Linked DNA regions of Arabidopsis thaliana. The protein of the gene in region 1 interacts with the protein of each later gene in a pairwise test. Each region holds a gene or a part of one and is shown in the gene's direction. Other genes may lie near its edges. The genes, in order: ATH1, KNAT2 and KNAT6.

The links.
Region 2: the proteins of ATH1 (region 1) and KNAT2 interact in a two-hybrid assay, tested with the Arabidopsis thaliana proteins (one study listed by BioGRID).
Region 3: the proteins of ATH1 (region 1) and KNAT6 interact in a two-hybrid assay, tested with the Arabidopsis thaliana proteins (one study listed by BioGRID).

The regions. Positions count from the first base shown.
Region 1 is NC_003075.7:15,914,064-15,919,734, reverse strand, and holds ATH1 (homeobox protein ATH1), read left to right. Parts: upstream 1-1,581; 5' UTR 1,582-2,195; exon of another isoform or gene 2,196-2,346; 5' UTR 2,347-2,529; intron 2,530-2,846; 5' UTR 2,847-2,861; coding exon 2,862-3,710; intron 3,711-3,802; coding exon 3,803-4,146; intron 4,147-4,238; coding exon 4,239-4,299; intron 4,300-4,702; coding exon 4,703-4,870; 3' UTR 4,871-5,065; downstream 5,066-5,671. Other genes in the region: AT4G32970 (BRISC/BRCA1-A complex protein), read left to right, coding at 5,435-5,671. UniProt on the Arabidopsis thaliana protein: Transcription factor which may be involved in the signal transduction pathway downstream of the COP1 gene. Controls floral competency as a specific activator of FLC expression. Is responsive of the nuclear import of SHOOT MERISTEMLESS (STM).
Region 2 is NC_003070.9:26,574,768-26,582,500, forward strand, and holds KNAT2 (homeobox knotted-like protein), read left to right. Parts: upstream 1-1,718; 5' UTR 1,719-1,867; coding exon 1,868-2,140; intron 2,141-2,380; coding exon 2,381-2,515; intron 2,516-2,588; coding exon 2,589-2,727; intron 2,728-6,889; coding exon 6,890-7,131; intron 7,132-7,222; coding exon 7,223-7,378; 3' UTR 7,379-7,664; downstream 7,665-7,733. UniProt on the Arabidopsis thaliana protein: May play a role in meristem function, and may be involved in maintaining cells in an undifferentiated, meristematic state. Probably binds to the DNA sequence 5'-TGAC-3'.
Region 3 is NC_003070.9:8,296,791-8,304,480, reverse strand, and holds KNAT6 (homeobox protein knotted-1-like 6), read left to right. Parts: upstream 1-1,880; 5' UTR 1,881-1,988; coding exon 1,989-2,309; intron 2,310-2,447; coding exon 2,448-2,576; intron 2,577-2,677; coding exon 2,678-2,816; intron 2,817-6,492; coding exon 6,493-6,734; intron 6,735-6,823; coding exon 6,824-6,982; 3' UTR 6,983-7,190; downstream 7,191-7,690. Other genes in the region: MENG (S-adenosyl-L-methionine-dependent methyltransferases superfamily protein), read left to right, coding at 7,588-7,690. UniProt on the Arabidopsis thaliana protein: Plays a role in meristem function. Contributes to the shoot apical meristem (SAM) maintenance and organ separation by controlling boundary establishment in embryo in a CUC1, CUC2 and STM-dependent manner.

The DNA.
Region 1 (5,671 bases):
AATGAGGGCTTGCTTTCTACATTACTTTTTTAGGGTTAGAATTTTGCTGGTCACTCAACTTGCTAACACACTTTGCTGGTCATTAAGAGTGAGTCCTTGATTTCTATGTAAAGATTAACTTGCTAACACACTTGGTTTTATCAATAAATTTCTTGTTCACAGAAGGAGTATTGCATATGTTTAGGTGGATGGCTATCGATCTTTACGTAAGAGCGATTGACATCTTAAAATTATACGCCGCTCTGAGAATGAATGTGTGTTTTCTGACCCTCAAGTGCTTCAGACACTGAGAATGAATGTGTGTTTTCTGATCCTCAAGTGCTCGACTTCTATATTAATTCGAAAGGAGTTAAGATCAAGTAGATTGTTGAACCTCAGTGAACTAGTTAATGCCCTCTGTGATCATTTATTCCCATTTTGCTTAGTCTGCCTATATATAATTCTAAGTCAATGAACTTGTATAATATTCTAAGCAAGACATCAGTAGCATATAGTATAAGTTGATACACAATAATTAAGCCAAATGACTTGGGAAATTATACGACTTCAGATAAAAAGCGCTCTAGTCTATGGAGTAGATTAAGCATCTGCTGGTGCTGGAGTCGATAGGCTCCATAGCCAACGTACATTTTGTTTCATTTTAGAAAAAGCATTACAAGTTCTTGTTTGGACTATCAGACAACAAAAAAAAGTAACTTTTATAATTCGCCTAGGACCCAAAAGTTATGAGCACGGGTCTAATAGTCTAACATTAATAAGTGTTATTGATTAAGATCGTAGGCATGATTAAAGATGCATTCCAGCTTCAGTTAATAGTCGGTACTATAGTTCCTAGTGTTATTGATACTATTCTGCTTTACTAAATCAAAATTTCAAACTATTAAATAATATAGACTTGTAAGCAAACAATAATAAGGATATGATATCAATAATTATCGATTTCTATTGAAAATAATTTTGTCCTATACGAACAACAATAACTGTTTCACCAAATCAATATCCAATTTTGCTTGGAGTGGCCATGCAAGATACTTGTCCTTGACCCTTTTCTTTGTCTCATACCAGCTTAGAAAGTCATTGTTTAGGCAAGTACCATTAACATTATTTAAAATACAGATCAAGTCACGCTAATACAGATCAAATCAAGTACCATTAGATTTTCTTCTTCTTTTGGTTGTAATAAAGAAGAGCATAATTTCAGATGTTGCAATCTATATAGTCTACGAGTAATAGAGTTCAATTCCATCATCATTAGCCATGATAATAAAGACGTAACACATAACGACACATTGAACTTAAAATAAATAAATAAATAAATAAAAATGATAAGAAAGGAACAATCAAAGAAAAGGCCAAGCAAATTGATTGATATTTTTGTAAAGCTTACGTAAAAAACTTATATGAAAAAAATACGTAAATGGATATAAGATTTGATGGCACAATACAAAGACACGAGTGGTGAGAAAAGAAAGAAGAAAAAGCAAGAACCCAAATGGATCACACATCTCATCAATTCTCCTTAAATGGCTAAAAAAGATCTCACCCTTCTTTACTTTTTTCCCTCTTTCTGATTTGTGATAATTGAAACCAGCACAAGAAGACAACACCATTTTCTTATAACTTTATAAAATTTTATAAATAGAGACACATACATATATATATATATAGAGACATGTAAATAGTAAAATGTAGGGTCTCTTCCCTAATTTAAAGCCTGCAACAGAAATGAGTGCACTTCTCTGTAGTAAACAGTAACACATCGGTCTTCTTCATGTCTTTGGATTTCTTTTTTGGATTTCGATTCTGTTTCAACCATATATTTTCTTTAGATAATTTTACTAGATTCATCTCTTTCTCTATGAACAACATTTTAAATAAATGACATTTTAAGAAAGTGATTATATATAAGATTTTCTTGATTCTGATTTATCTTTTTTTTTGGTCGGAAGATCTTAAAGATATGAAAATGGATTCGTGTCATAAACAGAGGCAGCTCCGTACGTGATTTGGCCCTCCTTCTTTTCAACTTCTTCTTTCTTGAATATTAAAGTTGTATTTTTCCCCTCGATAATACAACTTTTGGTTTGTTTATTTAGTTATAAAATGTTGCTATTTGTTGATCTAGTGCTCTGAATCTTTTAGTGAGGCAGATGATGAAGATTATGAATTTCTTCATGAAATTATTGTAAGAAAAAGTAAGTAATTTTTTTTGTAAGTGTTTGCGTTCATGCAAAAGAGATTAATCAGACCCACTTTTCTCTTTTTCAGTTTTGTTGCATTATTTTGTTCTCTTTAATTTATGAATACTAACTTTATTGTTGATTTCTGCTTTTTGGTTCTCTTTAGGAACATAGAGAAGCTGCGGAATGAAAGTACACTGTTCTTTCACGGAGAAAGAAGATAAATAAGCATTATCTTCTTCTTCAGTTTTTAACACACATTTTGGAAATTTTGATGTAAAAATTCTCTTTGGAACGTTGTGTTGTCTGAAATCTTCCCAAAGGTTCTATCAGAAGAAGAAGGATAAAGGCAAGTTTCAACATTTTTAATGTTCTATGGACATTTGTAGTAATCTAAAGCTTTCTTTTTTACTTATTAGTTCACTGTTTATCACAGATAGCTTTGAGATATTATTGGTCTGTGTATCATTGAGCCTAGTTACGGCTTCATTAACTCATGTTTCGGTTCTTTATATATTTTAATGAAATATTTAATGACATAGTGAGCGATGTTCTCTGTCTCTTGCAGCATTTTACATTTAGTACTATTCTCCAAAGATTTGGTTTCTTAGATTTTCTGAAATCTTTTGTCTAAGTCTTAAATACTTGTCTTCTTTGGTAATGCAGTTTCATAGAAACCCAATGGACAACAACAACAACAACAACACTTTTAGTTCTCTGGATAATGTCATGACTAACCAAAATCCTCTTCTCATGGATTTTATACCTTCAAGAGAAGATTCAACTTCATTCTCAACAATGCTTCCATGGAATACCATCAGATCAGATCCTCTACAAATGGGTGGCTTTGATATTTTCAATTCTATGCTGACTAACAAATACTTATCATCTTCTCCACGGTCTATCGATGTTCAAGATAACCGCAATGTTGAGTTCATGGCTCCTCCTCCTCATCCTCCTCCACTTCATCCTTTGGATCATTTAAGACACTATGATGATTCCTCAAACAACATGTGGGGTTTTGAAGCAAATAGTGAGTTTCAGGCATTTTCAGGTGTAGTTGGTCCAAGTGAACCAATGATGTCTACATTCGGTGAAGAAGATTTCCCGTTTCTAATTTCGAATAAAAGAAACAATGAGCTTTCATTGAGTCTTGCATCAGATGTTTCTGATGAATGCTCGGAGATAAGTCTTTGTGCAGCTACAAGATTAGCCTCAGAGCAAGCTTCTTGCAGCAGCAAAGACATTTCTAATAACGTTGTTACTCAAGGTTTCTCTCAACTTATATTTGGCTCAAAATACCTTCACTCTGTTCAAGAAATACTATCTCATTTCGCCGCATACTCGCTCGATTATTCATCTCGAGGAACCGAGTCAGGAGCTGCTAGTTCAGCCTTTACTTCACGTTTTGAGAATATAACTGAGTTTCTTGATGGTGATTCTAATAACTCGGAGGCGGGTTTCGGATCTACATTTCAAAGGAGAGCATTAGAAGCAAAGAAAACCCATCTCTTGGATCTTCTTCAAATGGTATGTAATATATTCATTCACTTTTTTTGCATAAGTTAAAAAAATGGTTTGATATATATGATGAAGTTTTATGAGTTGATATTTCTCTTCAGGTGGATGATCGATATAGTCATTGCGTAGATGAGATTCATACGGTTATATCAGCGTTCCATGCTGCAACCGAGTTAGATCCACAGTTACACACCCGGTTTGCCCTCCAAACCGTTTCCTTCTTATACAAGAACCTGAGAGAGAGAATCTGCAAGAAGATAATCTCTATGGGATCTGTATTGGAGAGAGGCAAAGACAAGACTCAAGAAACCTCTATGTTCCACCAGCATTGCCTTCTTCAGCAGCTGAAACGAAAGAACCATCAGATTTGGAGACCTCAACGAGGTTTGCCTGAGAAATCTGTTTCGGTTCTACGGAATTGGATGTTCCAAAACTTCCTTCACCCGTAACAATCCTTACTCTTCTTAACTATCTACTTTATGATGATGACATTGTTAACTCGATTTTATAAGCAAAGTTATGTTTTATTTAATGCAGTTACCCGAAAGATTCGGAGAAACATCTTCTAGCTATACGAAGTGGCTTGACAAGAAGTCAGGTAATGTCTCATGTTTGTTTTCTTATGCAATGACTCATTGATAACAAGCTTTGTTTTCTTATGCAATGACTCATTGATAAGATCTTTGTTTTCTTATGCAATGACTTATTGATAACATCTTTGCTCACAATGATAGCAAATATGGTATTCAAATGAGTAATATATATCTTGACATACTAGTCATGTCTGAAAAACCGGTATTGGTTATTTTAAGATGAGATTAGGGCTAGGAAAAAATCAAGCTTTTCTCTTGAACTACAAATGAGACTAGATTATGTATTCTTGAATTCACAATAATGTTACTCAAGTCCTAGGATTGTAGTCGCACATATGTTTTGTTACTGAAGTAAGTTAAAGCGGGCAAATGATATAGAGTGTGTCTCTTTGTTGTGTGTGATTAAAGGTATCAAACTGGTTTATAAATGCGCGGGTTAGGCTATGGAAGCCGATGATAGAAGAGATGTATGCGGAAATGAACAAGAGGAAGCTCAATAACAGTCACATTCAACCCAACGGACCAACTCTTCGAATGCCAAAATCTGTTATGATGAGCCAAGCAATGCATAAATAAGACAACAATTGTGTTTACCAACTTTGTGATAATTAGGCAATTGCTACTCTATGATTGCCCAAAACCTAAACCATGTACGACTATCATTACGTATGTTATAATTGTATATACAACTCCTTTATCTTTGACTATTTCATTTTATTATCCTGTATTCTTATATCATAATTATCATCATCCTCATTAAACTTCATGATCACCATTTTTACGTAAAAATAAAATTAAGTTCATGAAAATATATAAAAAGTATGTAACCACTGAAGATTTATTTTCATATTTATTCAAACAAACTACAAAATACAAACCTAAAGTTTTATTTCACCGTTTGCATTTAACTTTTTTTCTCTTACAAGTGAGTTTTATTATTCCAAAAACTGAAATGAATAATGACGAAAATCTCCTAGCAAGCGACGTCGTATTTTGGTTTGACTTGAGAATCTTCGGTCAACTAATAAAAACGCAGCGTTTTCATCTGGTACGGACACAATTAGAAATAGAAAGTAGGAAAAGGAAGACACTTTGCTAAAACTGAGGAAGAAAGTGTAAAGACGGAGCCTTTTACGGCGAATGGAGGAAGACAGAGCCACCATGACCGGAGCTGTAGCCACTCGAGACTCGGTGGAACCCAGCGAAGACATACTCATATGCGTCGATGTTGATGCGGAATCGACGGTGGAGATGAAGACCACTGGAACTAACGGTAAGCCTTTGAACAGGCTCGAGTGCCTCAAGCTAGCCATTACTCGCTTTATCCACGACAAGCTCTCCAGAAATTCCGATCATCGCTTTGCTTTCGCTACCCTC
Region 2 (7,733 bases), on another chromosome or scaffold:
AACATGTAATTGTATAGCATAAAACTACTTAGAAAGAAAGAGAAACAACCAAAGGAGAGTATTAAGACCTGGGATTCCCAAAATAAATAAATAAAATCCATAAGAAGCTAAGTAATCTCCAATTTCAGTAACATTTCTAACAACAGAAACAAATTTGTTCAAAACCACATATTGATGATATGAGATACAAAAAAGAATGACAATAAACTCCTACAAAGTTGAAGCAACCGAGTGGTACAATAATATATTAACAAAAACCTCAATACAAAGAATTGAAACCTAACAACACTAAATCACGGGAACAGTATGAACAATCCATGATGAAACATTCGAGTGGTACAATATTATCTTAGCAACATAATTATATGCACTTGATCTAATAATTTAGTCGTCACTTTTTGTTATTATTATTTTTTCTGCAAGACACACATTTTTTTTTTGCAATCATTTCTCGACGATAGTGATCATATAGATTATAGAAACTTGTGACCCCCCCCAAAAAATACAGAAAAGTTTAGAAACAATATAAATATGTGCTGTGAAGGCCACCGGTGGGGATTCAATACGATACGATCCAACGAAGTGAAATGAGAGAGAAGGAAAGTTCTGTCGTTTTTATAAGGTTTGATACTAAAACAAAGCTTTATGTCAGTTAAATTTCACACCAAAGTAGTCCGACGGATGTGTCAATCAAACCTGTCCATCATCAAAAAGACCTTTATGACATTTGTTTTTATTTTTTTTTGCGGAAAAAACGATATGGATCATCGGATCGGGTCTGGAGTAGACCCATGCAAAAATATAGTTTTTTTTCTTACAACAGGGTTTATAGATGGATTTTGGTTTATGACAAAAACTGCAGGTTCTGTTACTATATAAGGTAATGAAACATTTTGAGTTGATATTATACGCGACTAACAGATTCTCTATGAAAATAACAAGAAGTGCGATAAGTGGAGTGGCCACTATAAAAAATAGTTCCTAAGAGTGTGTTTAATTAGCAAATGACTGAAAGCAATTAAAAAACAAAAATTGTTTACTATGTTGTGATTGATAATGAGCACCTAGCTACCATAGACGTGTTTTACAGAGAAACAAAACTAGGTGAAAATTGAAAGAGTGAAATTGAAGTTGAACCGATCCGGTTAGACAACTAGAATCGTAGTAGCCTAGTAGGTGTCGGCCACCGTAATTGAAACAAAAAGCTTATTAATTAACAAAATTACCATCATTTGTTTTTACTGTCAAAATTCAAATTACCATCGTCTAACCTGTTTTTGTTAACAAGTACTAATTGTTGTCTTCATTAGCTAAGTCATAAATTCTAAAGGTTAGCGTGCTATTTTGATCATTTGTGCGATAATATTATATATCAAAAATAATCGTAACCATGTAATCGTACAGTTAAAAAAAGTGCTCTTGAATCACGAAGAAATCTTTTTATAATCACTCGAATCGTATTCCTTAACACATATGGCAAACCCTTGAAATCTTTCTTCTTTTATACTAGTACGACAAAATAAAATAAAAATTATGGTGTCTTTAAGAAAAACTTGTAAATTATCATAATAAACTATGAAAATTCATATTCGTGATTTTTTTTTTTTTTTGCTTTTCGTCACAAATCATTTTTTTTTTTTTTTGGTTTTTTGCTGAAATATTTACGATCATTGCCCTCAGACTACTATACTACGAGACCGCCTCAACTTGGCCAGTCTATCTATTTCCATTGTCTCTATCTCTCTCTCTCTTTGAAGCAGTTTGTTACTTCTTACTTTTGTGTTTCTTCATATTCTTCAGAAGCAAGCACAAGGCTAGGGATCGAAGAAGCGGCGATCACTGATCGTATCTCACTACGATCACATTAATGGATAGAATGTGTGGTTTCCGCTCGACGGAAGACTATTCGGAGAAAGCGACGTTGATGATGCCGTCCGATTATCAGTCTTTGATTTGTTCAACCACCGGAGACAATCAAAGACTGTTTGGATCCGACGAACTCGCTACCGCTTTGTCCTCGGAGTTGCTTCCGCGTATTCGAAAAGCTGAGGATAATTTCTCTCTTAGTGTCATCAAATCCAAAATCGCTTCTCATCCTTTGTATCCTCGCTTACTCCAAACCTACATCGATTGCCAAAAGGTGATCTCGCTGCTTTCGTGTTTTGTCTTTTCTTTTTCTTGTTGTGTATGATTTTGTGCTTTCAAGGTTAATTTGATTAAGCGTCAGGAATTTTACATGTATTCATCGTCGTATTTAAAGATAGTTCTCTTACTTTTTTTTTTCTATTCCACTTTAACCCTAAGATAAGATTGGAGAACTAGAGAGACTGTGTTTATATGTGAGAGTGATTTTTTTTTTTTTTTGGTTATTGATTGACAGGTGGGAGCGCCTATGGAAATAGCGTGTATATTGGAAGAGATTCAGCGAGAGAACCATGTGTACAAGAGAGATGTTGCTCCATTATCTTGCTTTGGAGCTGATCCTGAGCTTGATGAATTCATGGTTTCTCACTTTGTTCGTTGCCTTGAACTTTGATCTTCTAGTTTTTCTTAAAATATAATTTTGTTTTTTTGTGGTGTGATTCTAGGAAACCTACTGTGATATATTGGTTAAATACAAAACCGATCTTGCGAGGCCGTTCGACGAGGCTACAACTTTCATAAACAAGATTGAAATGCAGCTTCAGAACTTGTGCACTGGTCCAGCGTCTGCTACAGCTCTTTCAGGTCAGCACTAAAGTGATATCTATCTCTTGTTCGAGTGTACTTTTGATTTCTTGTTTCCTAGCTAGTGTTTTTATTGATCTTTGAGCACTATCCTCGGTTTGTGTGTCCTTTAAAATCCTTGCGCAAATTTCTCCTTACAGTTACAGATCTTGCGGATTAGAAAATCTATCCTCAGATAACTTTTCCTTTCTGTGCTTCAATGATCAGTTTCTTGGAATTGATGGAAAAATTGGAAATCTTCTACTGTTTTTTTTTTCCTTAAAGAAAACGAGAATCGATAAGTTGTTGTAGCTGAAACTAGGAGGAGCTTAGTAGATCCGGTTTAGACAACCCAAGGCAATAAAAGTCAGAAAAAAACAAGGAAACTCTAAAACCCTAGTTTTGTTAGAAAACAATGATTGATTCAGCCACATCTTTTATATTTGGTAGAAGTCATTCATGCTTTAGATAGATCCATGACCTTCACACATCTTTGTGACATTTATTTTCTATCATTAGCTATGGTTTAAGCTGTGGGGCGGATATTAGGGGAAAGCCGGTGGGTAGGATTTTCTCTGTTAGTGATATTTATTTTCCTAGTGATTTTGGTATGGTATACTTTTCTTTTGTTACTTTTATATATACTTGTATTATTATCTTCTCCTCTGTCAGAAGAAAATATGGGTCTATGAAAGCAAAAACTTTTGCGCTAGAGATTCTGATTTTGACGTTTCAGTGTCGTACTGGAAGTTTTTTAATTGCTTATTTCCAGTGAAAATTCAATCATAGAGAAAAAACCTAGTCATAACTTCCACTAATAAATGCCACTGATTTTTCTTGAGTTTGTCCTTGGCTTCATGTTTAGATCTCTAGTAGTATCGCTTGTTTTCATCTTCATTAAGAGACTGATGGGTAAAACAAAACTTTACTAGTTCTTGATTACTCCAACTTCTCTTGGTGAATGAACCAAAGTTTATACTACTTTTCCATAGAAAGTGTCAGACTTAAGTTTTATCCATGTCACTTTAGTTTTTACTATTAGAGAGATAAAAATTTATTGTGTATAATGAGTATAACATAAGATTGATTTGTTTTCTTAGTGTATGTGAAAATTAATGACACTAGCCCTTATTTTTGAATACATTGTATTTGCACCTAAGGGTCTTACATTTGAAGTCCACTGTGTTCAAATTACATGTACAAAATCATTGGTGTGATTAATTTTCACGAACCTATCTGACTTAGTAAACCAAAGAAGTGTCTTGATCAGGTCAAATAGTTGGATTTTGTGTTTCTTTAGCTCGAAAAAGCTAAACCAAATCTCTGTTGGATTTCAGTTAATCTGAGCTCATGCGCATGTAAGTCCATAAAAATGCTTGATGGCCAAGAGGCTTGTATATTCTGCATGTCGTGGTTAATGTGTCTGTTATTCTTGTATTCTTGTTGGAATTTTATGTGAATAAATAAATGATTGAAATGCATTAAGACACTTACACAATGTAAGTGAGGTTTACTAATTTGCCGAGGTATTAAACTAAACTTAATGGTACCTTCTTTTCCACCATTTGTTTTCTTAATTAAGCAGAATAGAACTTTGTAAGTATTTTACAAGCAGCCCAAATAAGGAATAGTAGGTTTCTTAAAAGAATGTAATTTTAGTTGTCTTTGTGTTGTTTTTGTAGCTTATATTGGTTAAACCTTTCCAACAGGGCAAAAATTAGTTTCTTGTTAATCTACACTAATCTACTTAGCCACGTTCATGTTGTCAGAATACGTGTGTATATTTTTTATAAGTAAAGTATTTCACTATCTTAGGGATTTTAAAGTAATCATTTTACTTCTTCATCTCCACCTGATAAGAACTAGCTGGAAAAAAATTGGAACTACAATATAGTGGAATTCAGCTTTAATAGTCTTCTTTTTCTTATATGTTGATATCAAATGCTGCTTCGGTTGTACTTTGTTAGCATTGTTTAATTCCGAAAAGTTGTTAATACTTATCAGCGTACTTAATTAATTGGAGTTTACATAGGGAATAATCTTGTCCAAAAGGTTGAAAAACAGATCACTTGCAGCTTGAATTTATCTTTATTGGACGAATGTTTAGTTTTTTAATGGTTTTGAAGTACCACTTACCTTTTTAGCGTAATCTCATGTATGATTTTGAAGGAATATATATTACCTTATGAACATCTTTTCCTTGGTCAATACCTTTTTCTGTTTCTTAAGTCCCGAGAAAGGACTTTCTTTTCAACTGAATATCTTAAACTAATAGTATAACTCATAATATGTAGTTTTCAGAGTCATGTGCTTTTGGTTTCTTTTCGTGCTAATATGCTTTAGGAATAAACCAAATCCTCTTTAGTCAACTGATGTTTGTCATAGCAATTGTGTTTACTTATTTTTTTCGTTCTCGCTTTAGTGTGCAATTGACCCTTTTCGTGATTAAGATGGTCAATCTTGGCCATGGTTTTTGTTCCATCCTCATATTTTCTTCTAATCATTTGGTGTTCGGATGGTGTATTGATACAATGAGATCCATGTGCGATTTTGTATCCATATGTGGAATTTAGGACTATTGTTTAAGATTATTCACTACAGTCTACAACTAGTATTTTTGTGTTGTAAAATGCATTCACCCTAGGTCCCTATGCATTCACCCTAGATATATCTTTGGCTGTGAATGATATTCTATTCATTCAATGTTCGTAGGAAACTCGAAAAGCATGTTCTTTTGAACAAAATACTCTGTCATGGCACATTAGTTACTTCACCAGTTCTAGACATGATAATACTGATAATCTGTTTGGTTATATCACCTTCGTTGATAGAATGGTCCTTTTGACACGCACAAAAAAACACACCCAAATGCTTGAATTAGAAATCTTTTAGCCCTTTTTAATTTCTAAATAGAAGAAGTTGGAGACAGAAGCATGAGGTGGTCAAGTGTCACATGGACTCCCGTGGATTACGTTGGTGGATCCCTTTATGACCCAATCGCAACACTCTCTTTTTAAGATTTGATTTGATTTTAAAGAAAAAGAAAGAGAAGAAAATAGGGGAGAGACATGGGTTTTGATTTATGTACAATGCAATCATCTTACGACTAATGTTTCTCCACATCTTTTTCTACTGTTGCTTAGTGGTTGTCATTTCCTCTCTGCGTTTGTTCCCTTAATGGGCCATGCAATTTCCACGTGTTTAACTTTTTTTGGGAGATGTACAAGTCTATCTACTTTTTTTTTATCAGTGCATGTTGTCTCTTTCGCATTGTCTTGATGTTATATAGGAACCAAATTCGGCTAATAGGTAAAGAACAAACCGAGTTACTATTGCACATACCATCCTCAACTAGCAAAGTTTTCATGGATAGGGTGTGAACTATATTTTGTGTGATTTGTCTAAGGATCAGCTCATTAGTGGTGTAGCAAACTACAACCTAAACTCTTTAGGGAGACTTTGAAACGATGTCTTTCTGTAATCACTAAGTTGAGAATACTAAGTGAAATTTCTATTAATGCAAATAATTTGACCATTAATCATGTTTAAACTCCCTTAATTAGGCTCCCTTTTAGTCGCAGTAACATAGGGGTCAGTATGGTATGGTCATAAATGGGGCATTATGAGAAAGTTCATAAATGTTGGGGAAGCGTTTTTTCCGGGGGTCACTCAAACAAGTGTCAGAAAGGTGATACGTGTCGTGACTCAGGTGGCTAGTGGTAAGTCCCAAAGGAGCACGTCAGTGGCAATGGAAGCTAAACTATTCAGTGACTGCGAAAGTTTTTGACTGATCATTTTTGTGCCCGGGTCTTGTAAAACCTCGATATTATCTCGCTATCCTTGTTTTTCCCCTTTTACCCCTTTCTTTCACCCTTTTTTTTTTTTTTTTTTCCTTTCTTTCACCCTTGTTCTCTTCTCTATGCTTTTTTGGCTCTTTTCTTCTTTTAGCTGCTTTAGCCACTTAGTCATTTAGCCGAGCCTACTAGTATCTTAGTGTTAGCTATGTTTGTTAGTGTTGGCATAGTGGTAGAATTTGCTTTCTACATTGTCAAATATGCTACCATAAATAGCACCACCATACATTCTCCTAGTACATTTTATCGGTATGGCACGTATTTGGCTAATACGTGGGAGCTAATCATTATTGAATCTTCTGTATGACATTATTCTCATGTATGAGCAGATGATGGTGCGGTTTCATCTGACGAGGAACTGAGAGAAGATGATGACATAGCAGCGGATGACAGCCAACAAAGAAGCAATGACCGCGATCTGAAGGACCAGCTACTACGCAAATTTGGTAGCCATATCAGTTCATTGAAACTCGAGTTCTCTAAAAAGAAGAAGAAAGGGAAGCTACCAAGAGAAGCAAGACAAGCGTTGCTCGATTGGTGGAATGTTCATAATAAATGGCCTTACCCTACTGTAAGTGTCTTTCTGATTCCACCGTAACCTAGCATACACTCATTAATTTATTTCTTCGACATATTAATATCCGCCTCTCGAATGTGTATAGGAAGGCGACAAAATATCTCTGGCTGAAGAAACAGGTTTGGATCAAAAACAAATCAACAATTGGTTTATAAACCAAAGGAAACGCCATTGGAAGCCTTCGGAGAACATGCCGTTTGATATGATGGACGATTCTAATGAAACATTCTTTACCGAGTAATGAAAAGAGAGACATGAAATTGTGCATTGTATAATTTTTACACTGTTTTTCCAAGAAAAGAAAACAGTAAAAAGCTTTTGGTAAATGGGGCATCATCGCGAATGAATGGAACCCGTTAGCCAAAACGGTCAAGGGCGTAACGAGACATTGTATTGGAAATAGTGGCAATATTATGTCACTAATCTTCCAATCATCCAAATTGATAGATTTCTTATTTGTATTGAACCTTACTTAGATAGCTGATGTGTCAACTAAATAATTTATTTTCATTATCCATTCGGGTAGAAGAATTCATTATCCATTCGAATTTTGTGACTATTTGGCTCGGTTTCGGAGCCGGATTTTTCGGATCGGT
Region 3 (7,690 bases), on another chromosome or scaffold:
TTAGAGCAACCAATAGTTTGCAAGTACCTTTAAGATGAAAATGACTTTCTCTAGTCTTTGAGAAAAAAAATAAAAACAGAAACAAAGTTTATATTAAAGTAGTATGAAAGAACATGCCACTTTCTTGATTGAAAATTATATGATAGACGTAAAAAGCTGTCGACAAAACTAAAAGAATAGTTCCATTCGAAATATTATAGATGCTCTCGTTCTATTTTCTTTTTGGTTAAAGTGCTCGTTTTTTTCTTGATACTCTCTTTAAATTACGGCCAATTTCATAATTTCAAACTTAATACATATGTAAAATCATTAAATATACCAAATTATGCTTATGTCTATTTTTGTGAATAAATTACATAGTTCATTTTCATAAGCTAAAGTCATCATGAATATCAGCATCATCAATTTTGGCATAAATTTCATAAATCATAAATTAGCTAAGACCATTGATTTTGCAGCTCCTATACGCCTAGACCAGCGTTTATTTTATTCTTAGTTTTATCCACAAACTTGCTTTATACAGAACTATTCTAAAGTAAACACTAGCTGATACTATATACTAATTTAATCTTAATTAGACGATTTTCCATTAGGGCCTTCTTATCTACTATCTAGGAACGGACCTTCGCTTCTCGAAACCCATTTCATCCCGTACAATCGAAGTGTCCAACATCCGAGTTGGTAAAAAATTTCTTACTACGTAGTAGGTACTAAGAATCACTTATCATATCCATATATTCTTCACATTTGATTTATTTCATACCATCATTTGAATATATATGTGTTGATTATCATTTTGTTAGTAGTCGTGTTCGATAATTTTGTTCTGTATCTAGCAACAAATTTACAGTGACAAGTATTAAAATAATACCGCTCTTTAACTATATATATGTATGTATCAGCTCACTAGTTGTTTGTAACCAGTTCTTGTTTTTCCAGTTTGATATATTCGATTCAACATACCCAAAACATCTCTCATATACTGAACTAATATCTATTTCTAATTGACTCGATTCAATATCATTAGTACTATATTATCTTCTGATATGCGACTTCATTTGTTTTCTTTCTTCTGTTCGGTTTTCCACTTGTTGTTTAACATTTTCACCTTGTTTCACTATTTGCAATCAAATAAACGATTTATGTAGGTGTATCTATATATGTTCTTAGGATCATAATAAAAATATATTTTCTACAAAGTTTTTCGAAAATATATATACATTGGGGATTATTTTTTTAACTGTCTACAGCTCACACATGCATATTATCATATTTGAATGAAGATAACGATACAATGCCGATACTGATACAAATCATTATGTTAGATGCTCAATTTGTTTCTATAGGTCCTATAATATATACATCAAGTCATCAACTATACTTTTTGAAAAGAAAATTACACAGAGCTTTCAAATAAGTTGCGTGTAGTTTAGTGGTTATATGTACTAGTAGTTATGTTACCATCTAAGTGTATTGTCGATGAGAAAAAAAAGAGTTCAAATAAACTGACATAGTATGCTGGTAAATAATCACACTTTTTCCGTTTTTTCCATTTCGTTTTCAATAATATATAATTTTGTTTCTCGCCATGTTTCATTGATATTAAAAATCTCATGATCATGCAAATTCTATCATAACACAGCCTTGGACCTTTCTTAGATATATATGTTAGGAAGGCCTTATCTCGACCTATGAAGCCTGAAGCTCCATTGAGCCTTTTAGCATATGTCCTTTTTCGTAATTATCATTTTATTTTTCTTCTCCGTTAACTTTCATATCTTTTTTCTTCCAAAAGAAAATAAATTAAGATCCCTCGAGCCTCTCTCTCTCTCTACACACTCCCATAGAAATAAATATTTTCAAGAACCAAAAAGTTTGTTATAAGCGGTTTCATATTATTCTTCTTCATCGATTCTTGATTTTGCAAGAAGACAATTCAAGAAAGCGATTTAGAAGACGGAGGAGTTCTTACCGGAGATCTTATACTTATGGATGGAATGTACAATTTCCATTCGGCCGGTGATTATTCAGATAAGTCGGTTCTGATGATGTCACCGGAGAGTCTCATGTTTCCTTCCGATTACCAAGCTTTGCTATGTTCCTCCGCCGGTGAAAATCGTGTCTCTGATGTTTTCGGATCCGACGAGCTACTCTCAGTAGCCGTCTCCGCTTTGTCGTCGGAGGCGGCTTCGATCGCTCCGGAGATCCGAAGAAATGATGATAACGTTTCTCTAACTGTCATCAAAGCTAAAATCGCTTGTCATCCTTCGTATCCTCGCTTACTTCAAGCTTACATCGATTGCCAAAAGGTGATCGTTAACTCTTTCTTTTTTTATCACTTAGATAAAATCTAGGTTTTACTTTTTAAAGATAAAGATAAGATTGAGAAGCTTTGATATTTGATTGTTTTTTTTATAATTTTATGGTTTAACAATTTCATAATTTAGAAACAGGTCGGAGCACCACCGGAGATAGCGTGTTTACTAGAGGAGATTCAACGGGAGAGTGATGTTTATAAGCAAGAGGTTGTTCCTTCTTCTTGCTTTGGAGCTGATCCTGAGCTTGATGAATTTATGGTCTCTCTCTTTTTTTCCCTCGATTTTTTTTCGGATTTTTATTTTTGTTAAAATATTTTTTTTTGGAAATTTTTGTACTTAAGAAGATAATTTATTATCAGGAAACGTACTGCGATATATTAGTGAAATACAAATCGGATCTAGCAAGACCGTTTGACGAGGCAACGTGTTTCTTGAACAAGATTGAGATGCAGCTACGGAACCTATGTACTGGTGTCGAGTCTGCCAGGGGAGTTTCTGGTATGTCTTAAATTATCCCTCTCTGGTTCGGTCTTTTAGTGGTTCTATTTTGTGGTTAGTTCTGAATGATTTCTTTTGATCTTTTCCGTGGTTTTTCATTAATAATATCCTTTCCTCGATATTTCCATAGGGTTTTGATTCATATGACCAGTTTCTGAAAAATGATTGGTAGCTTGTTGATAGAATAACCCTAGGCTTTTGAAGTGATCAGAAAGCAAAATAGATAAAAAATGAAAAAAAAGAAGATAAACCCTAGCTACAAGTTTCATTTCCATAGCTATTTTTCCCTTGATGGGTTTTGTTTTGTGTGTGCTTTTCTTTTGGGCACGTTGAAACTCTGGAGACAAAGATCTGTTTAAGGTGTTGTGCAATTATTTTACTCGTTCATTTAATGTTTTAGCCATGGGATTAGGGTGTTGGAGTGTGGTGGGGATTTCCTCTTCTTCTTGTTGTTGATCTTTGTGCTAATCATACAAATTTTACTTTATATCTTTTTCTCTTCTTTCTCTGTCAGAAAGAAAATGGTGTAGAAAGCAATAAACTTTTGTGGTAGAGATTCTGATTTTGACGTTTCAGAGGCTTGTTGCGTACTGAATGTTTTTTCAACTTGTTGCTTTTTTCTAGTGAAAAACCAATTGACAGAAAAACCTAGTCATAACTTTTTAACAATATGTGTAGTTGATTTTTCATGAGCTTCTTTTGCTTCACTTCTCGTTTAACAATAAGTAAGTATAAGTACTAGTCATAACTCATAAGTCGCTTCACTCTTGTTTATGGGTAACAACCTTATTAGGTTACCAGTTTTTCTAAGACTTCAACTTCTTTTGGTCAGATGATTATTAATAACCAATAAGCCATAAGAGTTATTAGCTGTAATTCCTCTTTAAGCTCATTCACAGATTCTCTGGATCGGAATTAATAAGCGTGTTTAGATAATTTTACGATTAAATTTCTGTTATATCTTAATAACACACCATATAATTTTTCTATCTAATTAAATAGGTTAAAACAATAAAGTTAAAATTGTATTTTAAATTTAATATAGAAGTCTACAAAACGACATTCTTTGTGAAATAAAAATTTAATCCTGAATTCGACATTTATTATGAAGAACGTAACTTTGGTCTATTTCAAGTTTCAATGATCTGAGAACAAGAGTAGGGAGATTTTTGTTGATCATCGGAAATAGTATCATTGCCAAGTGGCCACTCTTATCTGCATGTTCTTGTTGGAGTCTTGTTGGACTTATATGTAAGTAATAAACCAAAACTGACTCAATTTTGAAGCGATTTAAAAGTCTAGGTTTTATGCTTATACATGAATGAAATGCTTCAAATAAGTGACTTTCTTTGTGGTTTACTGATATTATCTCTTTAGACCACATATTGTACTACAACTAGCAAAAACATTGTGGCCATAACAAATCAACCGATCAGGTTAGCTAGAAATACTGATCCTTAGGAGTTTTTTTTTTAATACAATAAAATAGAAGAAAAACTCCAGCTGAAAGAGTTAGCTGTAAAGAAATGAAACTCCATAGATTGGTAGACTTTTTTTCAGCTTTGCAGGAGTTTTCCATTATCGTGGTCGATCTCAAATGCAGGTTCCACTTGTACTTTGGTAATATTGTTTATTGGGGGAAAAAAGCTGCTGATATATAAAAACATATCAGCTTATCTTTATAAACTAATCGAGAGTTAGCATAGAGTATCAACTGGAAAAGTTGAAAATAGATCGATGCAGGTTTTCCATAATGGACGAATGTTTATGATTAATAATTTTAAAATTTGTTCAAAGTACAACTTGCCTTTTTGAATGATCTCATCTGTTTTTTTTTTCTTTGGTTGTGTGCTTTATTTAACCATCTTTTTCTTTCACCTGAATGAAATCATAAACTAATAAAGAAAAAAGAAGCTTACAATTGTTAGACAATATTCACATGGGATGCGATGTTATCTACTAGTTTCTCAGTTCAATCACATGCTTGGTTTCTTTCATGTTGATCTGATTTAGTAATACAAGTTGATCACATAGACTTTTGATTTCTCACTTCTTGGTTGTTGTGATACGGTAATGCAACTTAGCGAAAGCCCTTCTTTGGACTAGCTAAAAAAGCAACACATTCTTTTCTTCTAATGCGTGGTTATCTTGCTACTTAGAGTGGATGGTCTCTTATTGACTTTTATAGTCAACATTTGTCTTGTTGCATGCAATATCATCAATGTTACATGTTTGCATATTTGATCTAGAAGATAAGAATACTGCAACGAGAAGAATAGGAACATAGTGCATGATTAGCTTGAATTAGAGGTTCTTTTGGTTTTTGTTATAAAGTAAAAGGTGGAAAAGTCACATGGACTCCCGTGGATTCCGCTAATGACCCCACCAACTTTCTCTCCTAAGATTTTATTTTTGATTTGGTTATTAAAAAAAAAAGGAGACATAGGGTTCTCTACACACCACAATCAAATCATCTATAAGACTGCGACTATGCTTCTTCTCTATCTTTCTCAACTCTTTTGCCATGCCCTCTGGTTGCGTTGTTCCCTTGGTGGGTCGTATTATGTCTCTCTGAGGCACGCTACTAGCACGTGTCTACTTGCATGTTACCTTCTTCAGTGAACCCTATTTTCAAAGCAGTCAATGCATTGCTGAAAATGTAAATAATAATCCCAACCATACAAACTATCGTTTTTTGCCATTAAACTGTTACCCTAACTACTCATATGTGTGTAATGTGAACGTAATGGTCTCTATAATATATGATCAGTTCATGTTTTATGCATTTTAGTATATTTTTATTGGCCTATTTAACATCTCTATTTCCTTCATAATTACTGTGGCTGCTGTAGAAATCTTTTAACTTTTATAATATGTTTATAAAACTGACTGAATTGCGTGAATTATAAATTGACTGAAATTACCTTGGCTGTTGTAGAAATCTTTTAACTTTTTTTAATATATGTTTATAAACTGACTGAAATTGCGTGTATATATTATGTAGTCCAGTATTTTGTGTGACTGACTAAATATTTTGACTAAGCACGGTTGCTTGGTCCGACTATATATTCTGTCACATAGGCAAAACTATTGTAAAATCAGGTAATGTTCTTGAATCGTCTTTGGGTTGAGTTTTGGTGTCAGAGAAGCTGGGTAAGTGGGTCAGTAGAGTCGTTGGGGCATATATATAAATGTCCAAATACATTAAAGAAAGAGAGAGAGAAAAGGAAATTGAGTTTTGGGGTATCGTGGAGAACATAAATGAGAGGTGTAGCGTTATTTCCGGGGGTTCACACAACCTCTAAATGGTATTTACACGTGTCATATTGAGATTGGGTAATTAGTAGGCCTAAGGGGGGATGTCTCCTCATGGGGACAAGACTATTAGTCCTCTCCTGACAAATGACAATGGAGGTAACTATTCACTGCGGCGGTTTTTTGACTGCTGCACTCAATCGTGTGCGTCCTCGATATTCTCTACCCCTTACCACTCTTTCTTCTTTCCCTTTTTTGCCCTCTTTAGCCACTTAGCCGTTTTAGCCGAGAAAGCCCATTTAAACTTTTTCATGGTAGTGAATAGTGATAATTCTGTTACATTTACTTGCTATAACCTATAACCATTCTCTGTCTTTGATGTCTTTGTATAGTGATAATTCTTGTGAATTTGGTGTAACAGAGGATGGTGTAATATCATCTGACGAGGAACTGAGTGGAGGTGATCATGAGGTAGCAGAGGATGGGAGACAAAGATGTGAAGACCGGGACCTCAAAGATAGGTTGCTACGCAAATTTGGAAGCCGTATTAGTACTTTAAAGCTTGAGTTCTCAAAGAAGAAGAAGAAAGGAAAGTTACCAAGAGAAGCAAGACAAGCTCTTCTTGATTGGTGGAATCTCCATTATAAGTGGCCTTACCCTACTGTAAGCAAAAGCAACACTTGCATGTTTTCCGACATAACTAACCACTACACTTATATATAAATGGGTGGTATGAATGTGTGTGTACACAGGAAGGAGATAAGATAGCATTAGCTGATGCAACGGGGTTAGACCAAAAACAAATCAACAATTGGTTTATAAACCAAAGGAAACGTCATTGGAAGCCATCAGAGAATATGCCTTTCGCTATGATGGATGATTCTAGTGGATCATTCTTTACCGAGGAATGAATTTATTTATGGTACTTATTTAACGTTGATTAAAAGATGGATGTATAATTCTGCCTTGCTTTGCCGACAAAGGAAAAAAAGAAAGAAAGAGTGAAGCATGGACGACACATGAAATGGATCTTACACTCACTCACATGTAGTAGAAGGAACAAGTCAAAATGCTTTGTAACTATTATTATCGGTGAATAAAAATAACCTCTTTTGTCTTCTCCGGACCTCTCGTGATATAGCTTTTACCCTCTTATTGGCAAAACGTTGAACAAACAAAATACTTAGATAGGTTAGATTTGTTTATTAACTATGTGTTTTTCAAAAATAATTATAAAATATCTTGTTATTTGTGTAAATCACACTAAATTAAACACATTCTTTTATTGACAGTTTAATCATCATGTACATTTTGCTAATTGTAGCCAAAAGTTTAGCTATCTAGCAATTGGAACCTTGTGCCCATAATCCAACCATCTCTGTTTAAATTTTGGGGTGGGTTTCAAATTATCCTTATTGGGCCTAAAATCGGCCCAATATTAAACTGAAACCAGACTTTTATCCAATCCGAGTAATCGGAACAAAACAACATGATCGTGTGAACCAACGGCCAAAAAATGGCGGCTCTACTCGGTATCGTCTCTCCTGTGACTTTCACCGGAAAGCACCCGGTAAATTCCCGATCGCGACGGAGAACGGTAGTAAAATGCTCGAACGAAC